Linked DNA regions of Arabidopsis thaliana. The protein of the gene in region 1 interacts with the protein of each later gene in a pairwise test. Each region holds a gene or a part of one and is shown in the gene's direction. Other genes may lie near its edges. The genes, in order: AT4G26770 and AT1G21940.

What was found.
Region 2: the proteins of AT4G26770 (region 1) and AT1G21940 interact in a protein complementation assay, tested with the Arabidopsis thaliana proteins (2 studies listed by BioGRID).

The regions. Positions count from the first base shown.
Region 1 is NC_003075.7:13,480,387-13,485,615, forward strand, and holds AT4G26770 (Phosphatidate cytidylyltransferase family protein), read left to right. Parts: upstream 1-1,677; 5' UTR 1,678-1,832; intron 1,833-2,165; 5' UTR 2,166-2,193; coding exon 2,194-2,400; intron 2,401-2,472; coding exon 2,473-2,887; intron 2,888-2,962; coding exon 2,963-3,104; intron 3,105-3,178; coding exon 3,179-3,335; intron 3,336-3,426; coding exon 3,427-3,474; intron 3,475-3,551; coding exon 3,552-3,638; intron 3,639-3,726; coding exon 3,727-3,855; intron 3,856-3,938; coding exon 3,939-3,995; intron 3,996-4,070; coding exon 4,071-4,154; intron 4,155-4,221; coding exon 4,222-4,311; 3' UTR 4,312-4,557; downstream 4,558-5,229. Other genes in the region: MAP65-2 (microtubule-associated protein 65-2), read right to left, coding at 1-159, 236-481, 566-769, 843-914; AR192 (Co-chaperone GrpE family protein), read right to left, coding at 4,680-4,778, 4,874-5,002, 5,082-5,229. UniProt on the Arabidopsis thaliana protein: May be involved in the synthesis of minor phospholipids and in modulation of IP3-mediated signal transduction.
Region 2 is NC_003070.9:7,714,535-7,718,850, reverse strand, and holds AT1G21940 (uncharacterized protein), read left to right. Parts: upstream 1-1,875; coding exon 1,876-2,035; intron 2,036-3,289; coding exon 3,290-3,681; downstream 3,682-4,316.

The DNA.
Region 1 (5,229 bases):
TGCAAGTGTTTCATTGCTAATGCTCTTGGTTTGAACACCATTTGCCTCATCTAAGCTCGGATGAACTTCGGTGACAGTGCTTAAGAAATCTAAACGAAGGACGGCACATAGATCATGCACCGTGCTCACAAACTCGAGCACCTTCTGTAACCTATCACTCTGCTCAAACACAAAGCAGTTTTAGTTCTGGTTTGAACATAGGCCACACATAACCATATCCCAACTAATATTTTACCTTCTCTTTCTGGAGCTCTTGGAGTTTCCTCTGGAAGTCATCTAATCTCTTTAGAGACAAGTCAGTCTCATCAACCACATGAGGTCCATTGTTCAATCCGCCAGCGATCTCCTCACATATCTTCTGAATCTGTGATTGTACATCAGAAAATGCCCGGACCCTTTCCTCTTTCTGTTGCCAAAGTTGTTCAAGCGCAGGTGCTATTGCAGAAAGTTGTTCTTTGATCGTTCCTGAAGTCTTATCAGGCTGCAATGGAAACAAAGACATTGAATCACACTACACTGTAACCATCTCATCTCTTTACCACTTGTAAGACGTGAGATTACTTACAATGTCGATATAGCTTTTTTCCCCGAGAGCAGTTGTGAGATTGGAAAGTTCAACAGTGGCATCTGACAAAGTCTGAAGAAGCTCTGCACGAGATTTTGCGGCTAGCTCAACTTTCTTTTTGTAAACATTCAGACACTCTTCCTCAATCTGTAGAAGCAGTTTGTCTCGTTCTTCATCACTCTCCCCAACCTCATCCCAGATTTCCTGTAACAAGTTTGTACATTGAGTTTGTGGAACCATATATTAAAAGGATAAGTGTGTATGTTGCGAAATCTACCTGCAACTTCTGTAGTAAGGTGCCACAAGTGATTTCACCAAGAAGAGGATTTTCTGCTTCTGTCACTGCCATTCTTGTGAAGTCAAAAGGTTTCCTACAAAAGTAGAAACAACGAACATATTTAGTGAAGATCCAAACTAACTATACACTAAAAGAAACCAAAGTTGCAATCTTTTTTAGAAAACCAAATTGAATCAGAAACAACATTTTGAACTTGGGAACAAAAACACATCAAAGAACTTAGTGAAGCTAAGAATGTGAAACTAAGCTCAAGAAAAGCTCGAAAGGAACTTCAAAGAAATCAAACAGCATTGGTGATAAAACCAAAGCCAAAGCAAGAAATCAACATTGAAGAAGTAAAGAGGCAATGAGCTGAAATGAAACTAATCGAATCCAACAAGTAGAAGATGGCTTTCTTACCTTAATCGATATTGAATCCAAATGGTTTATCTTCCTCTCTTTTAGATCTGAAGCGACGAATAGTCACTGTGAGAGTAAGAGAGAGAGAGAGCATAGGAAACAGAGAAATCTCCAACTTTGGTTATGGAGGTTGGGAAATGGGAAAAGTGGGACCCATTTTACGGAACTCAATAATTAATGAGGAAAAAACAACAGCAAAAAGGTGAGAGACCCTGTCTTTTCGCGTTATTTACTGATTTGACCACTGATCTCACAGACCTCGTTGACTCCTCATGCTCATGTCTGAATAGTTAAAAGGCTTTCCTTAATGGGCTTAAATATCTGACCCAGCCCAAACAGATCAAGACAACACGTGTCACTCATTCCGGGTTTAAACATGAAGCAGCGACATGAATAGTTTATTGGTTCTCTCTTCCGATGATTTGATGAAACCTCACCGCTAAGTGCTCATCCACCACCTTCCTCCTCCTCCTTCTTCCCTCACCTTTTGAGTTTCTTTCTTCACGTTTCTTTTCATTAATTAGGGTTTCGCATTTTCAATCACCATCATCCCACCACGTTTTCGTTAATGTAAGTTCATTCTCTTTTTTCTACTTGTCATGATCCCATTTTGTTGCAATGTTCACTTATGAAATTTATCCTTTGTATGTGAATCATCACGTTTTGCTTTGATGAATCATTTAGATTTCTAGGCTTACACATTCAAATCTAAATCCTCTATTATATGCTTGTTACACAAGTAATCTCTCATCAGATATCAATGTGTGTGTTTCATTAAGACGTGTATAAGCTCGAGTTATGGTTGACATTTTGAAATTATAGATCAACCCCAAATTCATTTCCTCGGATGTATAAAGAAACCCAGATCATCATGATTAACTGAATTTCAAGAACTCAATCCAGGAACTGAGAGCATTTCCTAGGGATCTCAATGGCAATGGAGAAAGATCTCAGTCCAAATTCTCCACGGATTAGAAAGCTAAGGGATACTAGTTACCCTACTACACCAACGTCTCGAATGAATACTAATAACCAGAGAGATAACCATTATCCCAACATTCCTAATTCACCAAGGGATTACAATTATACTCCTAGCTCTCCAACAGCTCGCATTCGACACCGCAGGCGATCAAGCGAGGTATCTATACAATGTCATACTCTCTTTTCCGGTTGAATCCAAAATTTGATTGTCTTTTTCAATATTGATCAGAATTTAGCTGAGGTGAACAGAAGCAATGTAAGCAGAGTAAGCAATTTGTTACTTGGTGATAAGAACAAGTACAGATCAATGTGGATAAGGACATGCTCATCTCTCTGGATGCTCGGTGGAGTTGTGTTTATAATCTACATGGGTCATCTCTACATTTGGGCTATGGTTGTGGTTATACAGATATTCATGGCCAAAGAGCTCTTCTTTCTTCGCAGAAGAGCTCATGAAGAACGTCGCTTACCCGGTTTCTGGCTCTTGAATTGGCACTTCTTCTTCACGGCTATGTTGTTTGTCTATGGACGCATCATTCAACAGCAGCTAGTCAACACGGTTTCTTCAGATAGATTCATATACAAGCTTGTGAGTGGTCTTATCAAGTACCAGATGGTTATTTGCTACTTCTTGTACATCGCAGGTTTGTCTGTTTCTTTTTTCTTCACAAAAACAATACTCTCTTTCTTGATTTATTAACAGCTTAAGTTGGATTCAGGTCTCATATGGTTTATCCTTACATTGAAGAATAAGATGTATAAGTATCAGTTTGGGCAATACGCTTGGACACATATGATCCTTATCGTTGTCTTTACTCAATCTTCTTTCACCGTCGCCAATATTTTTGAAGGGATCTTCTGGTACAATGGACTCTTATATATATCCACTGAAGCATAATAGTTTTCCCGAGTGCTAATTTCTTTTAAATATGCAGGTTTCTTCTACCAGCAGCACTGATTGCTATGAACGATGTAGCAGCTTACTTCTTCGGTTTCTATTTCGGGAAAACTCCGCTCATCAAGTTGTCTCCAAAGAAAACATGGGAAGGTTTCATCGGAGCATCAGTTGCAACTATAATCTCTGCATTTATTGTAATAACCTTCTTCTATCATTTATTCATTCGTTCGTAACTCTTTCTTTTGGTCTCAAGACTGATAGATTATTATCTGCTTCGTACAACAGTTTGCTAATGTCTTAGGCCAGTTCCAATGGCTTACATGTCCAAGGAAGGTAACAAAAAGTGATATCTCCATCACAATATTTTGTCTCGGCCTTTACTTCATCCTTGTGTTGCATATCTTTTGCAGGATTTATCAACTGGTTGGCTTCATTGTGATCCAGGCCCTCTCTTCAGGCCAGAGTATTACCCATTTCCCTCTTGGATTACTCCATTTGTAAGCAATTAACTGTCCTCTCGTGAAAACCAGCCGATGATGTTGTCTTGTTTTGAAACTGAGCTCCGTTGTGAACTTTGCTTAACAGTCTCCATGGAAAGGGATCTCGACCCTGCCTGTCCAATGGCATGCTTTTTCTCTCGGTCTATTCGCATCCATTATGGCGCCTTTTGGTGGCTTCTTCGCAAGCGGTTTCAAAAGAGCTTTCAAGATCAAGGTTAACACATTTTTCAAACATTAAAAGGTTTTGTATCTACAGATCCAAGAACAAATATTTACTAGTTTATGTCGCTTTGACAGGATTTCGGAGACAGCATACCAGGACATGGAGGATTTACTGACAGAATGGATTGCCAAGTAAGAGTCACTAACGTCGAAAAGTGCAATATGATCTTTGCATCGTTTTAAACGAATCTTGTTGCCTAAATGCAGATGGTTATGGCGGTTTTCGCATACATCTACATCCAATCTTTCATTGTTAATCGGGACTACAGTGTCGAGATGATCCTAGACCAGGTAAGAATCATCATATAAGCCAAGAATACGGAGGCATTGTAAATAATTGATTGTATTATACCTGCAGATATCGAGGAGCCTGGGACACGAGGAGCAGAAAATGCTTTATGAAAAGCTCGGAGACATTCTTCAACATAAGTTGCAAGGGAGGTTTTAAATAGTGAGTGCAAGTTTTGTGACTCTGTTTTCAGCTTCTTTCTCTATGGTTAGTTTCTGGTTGTATCAGACCATGTAAAACCTTGATTTGTATCTGATTTAACTAATCAAACAGAGACTTGGTAATAGTGTGCGAGTAGAAGAGATGTAAAATGATATTTTCCTCGTTCAATTATAGCATGGAGATAGAGAAAACAGACACAGAAGCAGGATTTCCCCTGCAAATGCCATGTCCAGCAACTTATGGGAGATCTTGTTCATCTAATGAATAACCAAACCACAAAAGAAAACTATGACTCGAAGACTCGAGAAGATGTTAATGGAAACATAGAACCGTAACAAAATTTATGAAAACCAGCTGACTTCTTCTTAAGCATCAGACTCTTTCTTTTCTTCTTGGTTCTCTCCTCCCTGGGTAACACCAACCTCAGCTGGTCTTATAACTCGGTCATACAGCGTGTATCCAGACTGCACATATTGACACCCATCATTACTAATTGGTATTTAAGACTATACAATATGAAATAAAGAGACAAAGAATTGAGCAAGCTTTATATATTTACCTTCAAGACATGAGCAACTGTGCCTTCTGGCTTAGAAGCATCAGGGACTTGGAACACTGCGTTATGTCTGTTTGGATCAAATGGCTCGTTTATAGGATCATACTTCTCCATACCAAATTTCTTAAATACCTGCAGCGGCACACATGTTTAACCGGTCTCATCTGCATTGCTTACTTAAGGTCTTATAATTACATTTCTCGATATTTACCTCAGCAAGCTGTTTCTCAGTCATCTCCACTCCTTCTAAAAGGGTCTTTAATAGTGGAGCTGCTCCAGCAGAATCTTCTGAGGTGTCAAGCTTTGAGAAGCTTTCTTTGACAACCGAAGAAGCTCTTCCAAGATTATCCGCCACATCC
Region 2 (4,316 bases), on another chromosome or scaffold:
CTTGCACCACTATCGAGGTACCACTTATGATTCTCTTCTTGTTCATCTTTCTTGTAGCTAGCCATTAATAACATGTCTTCTTCTTGAATTTTTTCTTCAACGTAGTTGGCCTTCTCCTCAAATTTTTTGTTGCTAGGAGCTTTACATTCAGAAGCCTAATGTCCAAACTTCCCACAATTGTAGCATTTGACACTTGATTTATCGTATCTTGATTTTGGGTGTCCTTTCCCACGACCTCTTGATGAGTTTTCACCTCTTTGGTTTGTGTTGTCTTCATGTGGCCTCCAACCACGTCCATTTCCATATCCACCACGACCTCGTCCTCGTACTTCACCACCACCTCTTCTTTGGTAACTTTGGCCGTTTTCTTCTTTTGTAATTCGCATATTGAGGACTTGTTCGACGATATCTTCTTTCTTCTTCTTCTTTTCTTCATAAGCTTGTAATGACCCAAGAAGTTGCTCTATTGTCATAGCTTCTAAATCTTTTGTTTCTTCAATGACGGTGACAATATGCTCAAATTTTAGATCCAATGATCTAAGAACTTTCTCCATGATTCTCACATCATCTAGCTTCTCTCCGTTTCTTTTAAGGTTATTAGTAACCGTCAACACTCTTGAGAAGTAGTCGGAGACGAGTTCACCTTCCTTCATTTGTAGTGCTTCAAATTCTCCTCTTAGAGTTTGAAGACGTACTTTCTTGACTTGATCGACACCTTTGTAAGAGGTTCGAAGCTTCTCCCATGCTTCTTTCGCCGACGTAGCTTCAACGACCTTCTCGAACGTATCTTCATCTAATCCTTGATAGATTAGACAGAGAGCTTTCTTGTCTCTCTTTCTTGAGTCTCTCAAACCATCCTTTTGAGTTTGAGAAAGACTACCTTCATTCTCCGGTTCAATGAAACCTTTCTCGACTATCTCCCACACGTCATGTGCTCCTAGGATAGCCTTCATTTGTAGACTCCAATTATCATAGTTGCTCTTTGTGAGCACCGGGACTTGGAAGGGAACATTGTTACTCGCCATCTTTAGGATCTTCAAGTTCTGCTACCACTTTGTTAGAGTAAAATTATTTTAGAGGTAATGGAGAAAGTGTTTAAGTGTTTTGAGAGAGTTTTTTTGGAAATAGAACTTTAATTACTTTGCTTTAAACTTGAAGACAACTTCACAACATTGCAACATTTGAGAGGAGGAGGAGGTATTTATAGCCTCCAAACTACAAAATATCTAAAATATTTTAATCGTAAGTCTAGAGAGTTCTTATATAAGATCTAGATTACATTATTCAAATTATCTAGATTATTCTATTAGAGTATCTAGATTTTTATGTTTAAGGAGGTGGAAGATGATTCTACAAAATTTCTAGAATCTTTTAAGGAGGTGGAAATGATGATATTTCTAGAGAAAATTCTAAAACTTGAATTTGGCCATAATTAATTATTGGATAATTGATCCAATAATTAAACTTGATTCAAAATCAAGTTTAACTTTCAACACAGTCATCAAGACTCACGTCCCGTTAGAAAACGTACGATTACTATAACCAATTAACCATGGTCCACGGTCAAACTTTAACCGTGGTTAATTTAAATAAAAGAAACATTTTATGCTTATAAACTCCAAAAACCCTTATTATATAGATTTTCTCTCCCGAATCTGTTTTCATTTTCACAATCTTCGTCTCAAAATCTTGTTTTTCTTTTCTCCTGCAAGAATCTCTCGCCATGGAAGGAGTTGTTGAGCCACGTGAAGAGAATCGTGACAGGGACGTGAAGAGCTTCGTAGATTGAACGGTCGTTTTGTCGTCGCAGTGTTGCTTGAACTGTCCACAAGAGTCTGCAAAAGAGCAGCTGCTGGCTCAGATCCAAACCCGACGATGACCGGACACGTGGCGTATTCTTGGGCGATGGAGTTCAACTTGTGGGCGCATCTTGCTTTTATGCTTGTGATTCTCAAGATCATTGTTGCTCCGATGGTGGTGGAACTGGAACAGATGAGAAAAGTACGAGAAGAGTGTGACGTGCAGCTGCTCGTGGGTTTGATTTTTGTCGTCCTCACGATTGCTTTCTTAGCGTACCTTCGCTGCTCCGTCACCGGGTGAGTGGTGTGTCTTGAGTTTCTTCCACCGTTACTATGGACCTGTGTCTTTTAGTGAGACCATCGACGATGCTTACATTTATCATCTCTCTTTCTATCTACAATCTAGTTTTCGTTTTTTTCTTTCTTTGATGGGTTTGTTGTTTTGAACATTATGGTTTCTTTGATTAGAGGTTTGAATATTTGGACCTGTGATCGTTCAGTGAGACCATCGCGGATGCTCTGTATCTGCTTTTCGTTTATTTCTTTGGATTTGTGTTGTGAACATTTTGGTTTCTTGAATAAAAGGTTTAAACAAGATTTTCTGAATATTAATTGATATTGTAGTTACAACTTGCAATATTTATCACTTCATACTGTATTTGCATAGATAAAAATGCGTTAAAGTTTCGGATCGCATCCCTGAATACAATAATTAGTTTTACAAAGAAATCGATGTGTGTGTGAACCGTTTATGATATCGGATTAAGACTAATTACTTCATGTTCTTGATGATAGTTTCAAATTTTAGCTCAAAATGTTTAAGGAATTAGCTGCAAAATGCAGTCATGAACTGTTTTTTTATCAATTAAATTTACATAAGATCAATCCATTGTTCAACGTGTCGTAATCAGGCAACTGCTTTAACTTTTGTTTACCCAAAGTAGTAACATTTTAGAAAAACCGATGAATAAAACTTAGTAAAAAAGACCATATTTAACCCTTAACATTTTTTTTTGTTCAAAATTTCACAATTATCTAACAATATAAAATATTTCTAGTCTTTTTATAGGTAGTTATATGATCAAATACTAAACCATGCAGATATTTTTGGTCCCAATTCTGTGTAACCAAAATTGTCAATTTCCGGTTCAGCAACGAACGAAATTTTGTAACCAGTAATTCAAGAAACCAATTTTTAACAGTGACCAAAAGAGGTAAGTCCTTCGTCCACTCAATATCATCAGTCATCACCTCTCTCCTTGAAACTTTTTCAACACGTACGGATTATAAACCATGGTTAGAGAAAAAGCAAGGTTAAAAAATAAACTATGGTCCATGGTTAAAATTTTAACCATGGTTAGGTTATAAACCCTTCTTCTTTCCCTCTTTAACAAACTCCAAAACCTCTCAGAGACAAATTTTCTCACTTTTTCCCGGATTCTGATTTTTTCATCAATCATCGTTTCAAAATCTCCATTTTCTCCTGCAAGACTACGAGATCGCAATGGATGACGAAGATGGAGGTCGTGAGAGAAGAGAAGAAACTCGTCGTGTAAACGATCGTTTCTTTCTTGCAGTTTCGCTCGCCATTTTCACCGGAATCTGCAAACGAGCTTCTGGTTTCGACGGTTCATATCTAACGGAGACGACGAAGAACGGACACGTGGCGTTATACTGTGCATCAGAGCTGAACAAGATGGCCGATATGTGCTTTATGGTGGTGATTATCAGAATCGGTTTATCGATGCTTGGACTCACGTTTGCGCCGGTGGTGATGCGTAGACTACGAGAAGAGACGGACATGAAACTTACGTTGGGTTCTATCTGCCTAGCGATTTCGCTCTGCTTCTCCGCTTATCTTCGGTTCTTCGTCGTCGGATGAGTTTGTGTTCGCCGGAATCTTCCCTGTTAGAGTAAAATTCTTTTAGAGGTAATGGAGAAAGTGTTTAAGTGTTTTGAGAGAGTTTTTTAGGAAATATAACTTTTATTACTTTGCTTTAAACTTGAAGATAACTTCACAACATTGCAACATTTGAGAGGGGGAGGAGGTATTTATAGCCTCCAAACTACAAAATATCTAAAATATTTTAATCCTAAGTCTAGAGAGTTCTTACATAAGATTTAGATTACATTATTCAAATTATCTAGATTATTCTATTAGAGTATCTAGATTTTTATGTTTAAGGAGGTGGAAGATGATTCTAGAAAATTTCTAGAATCTTTTAAGGAGGTGGAAATGATGATATTTCTAGAGAAAACTCTAGAACTTGGATTTGGCCATAATTAATTATTGGATAATTGATCCAATAATTAAACTTATTCAAAATCAAGTTTAACTTTCAACATTCCCTCTGCTTTCGACTTGGAACGCCGTCGTTTTAGTGAGATTCATCGTTTATCGTTATAATAATCTTTCTTTGTTTCATTAGTTTGAACAAGAGTTTGTTGATAAAAGTTTTCACTTTGAACCTTTTTAGTTTTTGAATACCATTTGATATTGGAGTCCAAGATTTATCG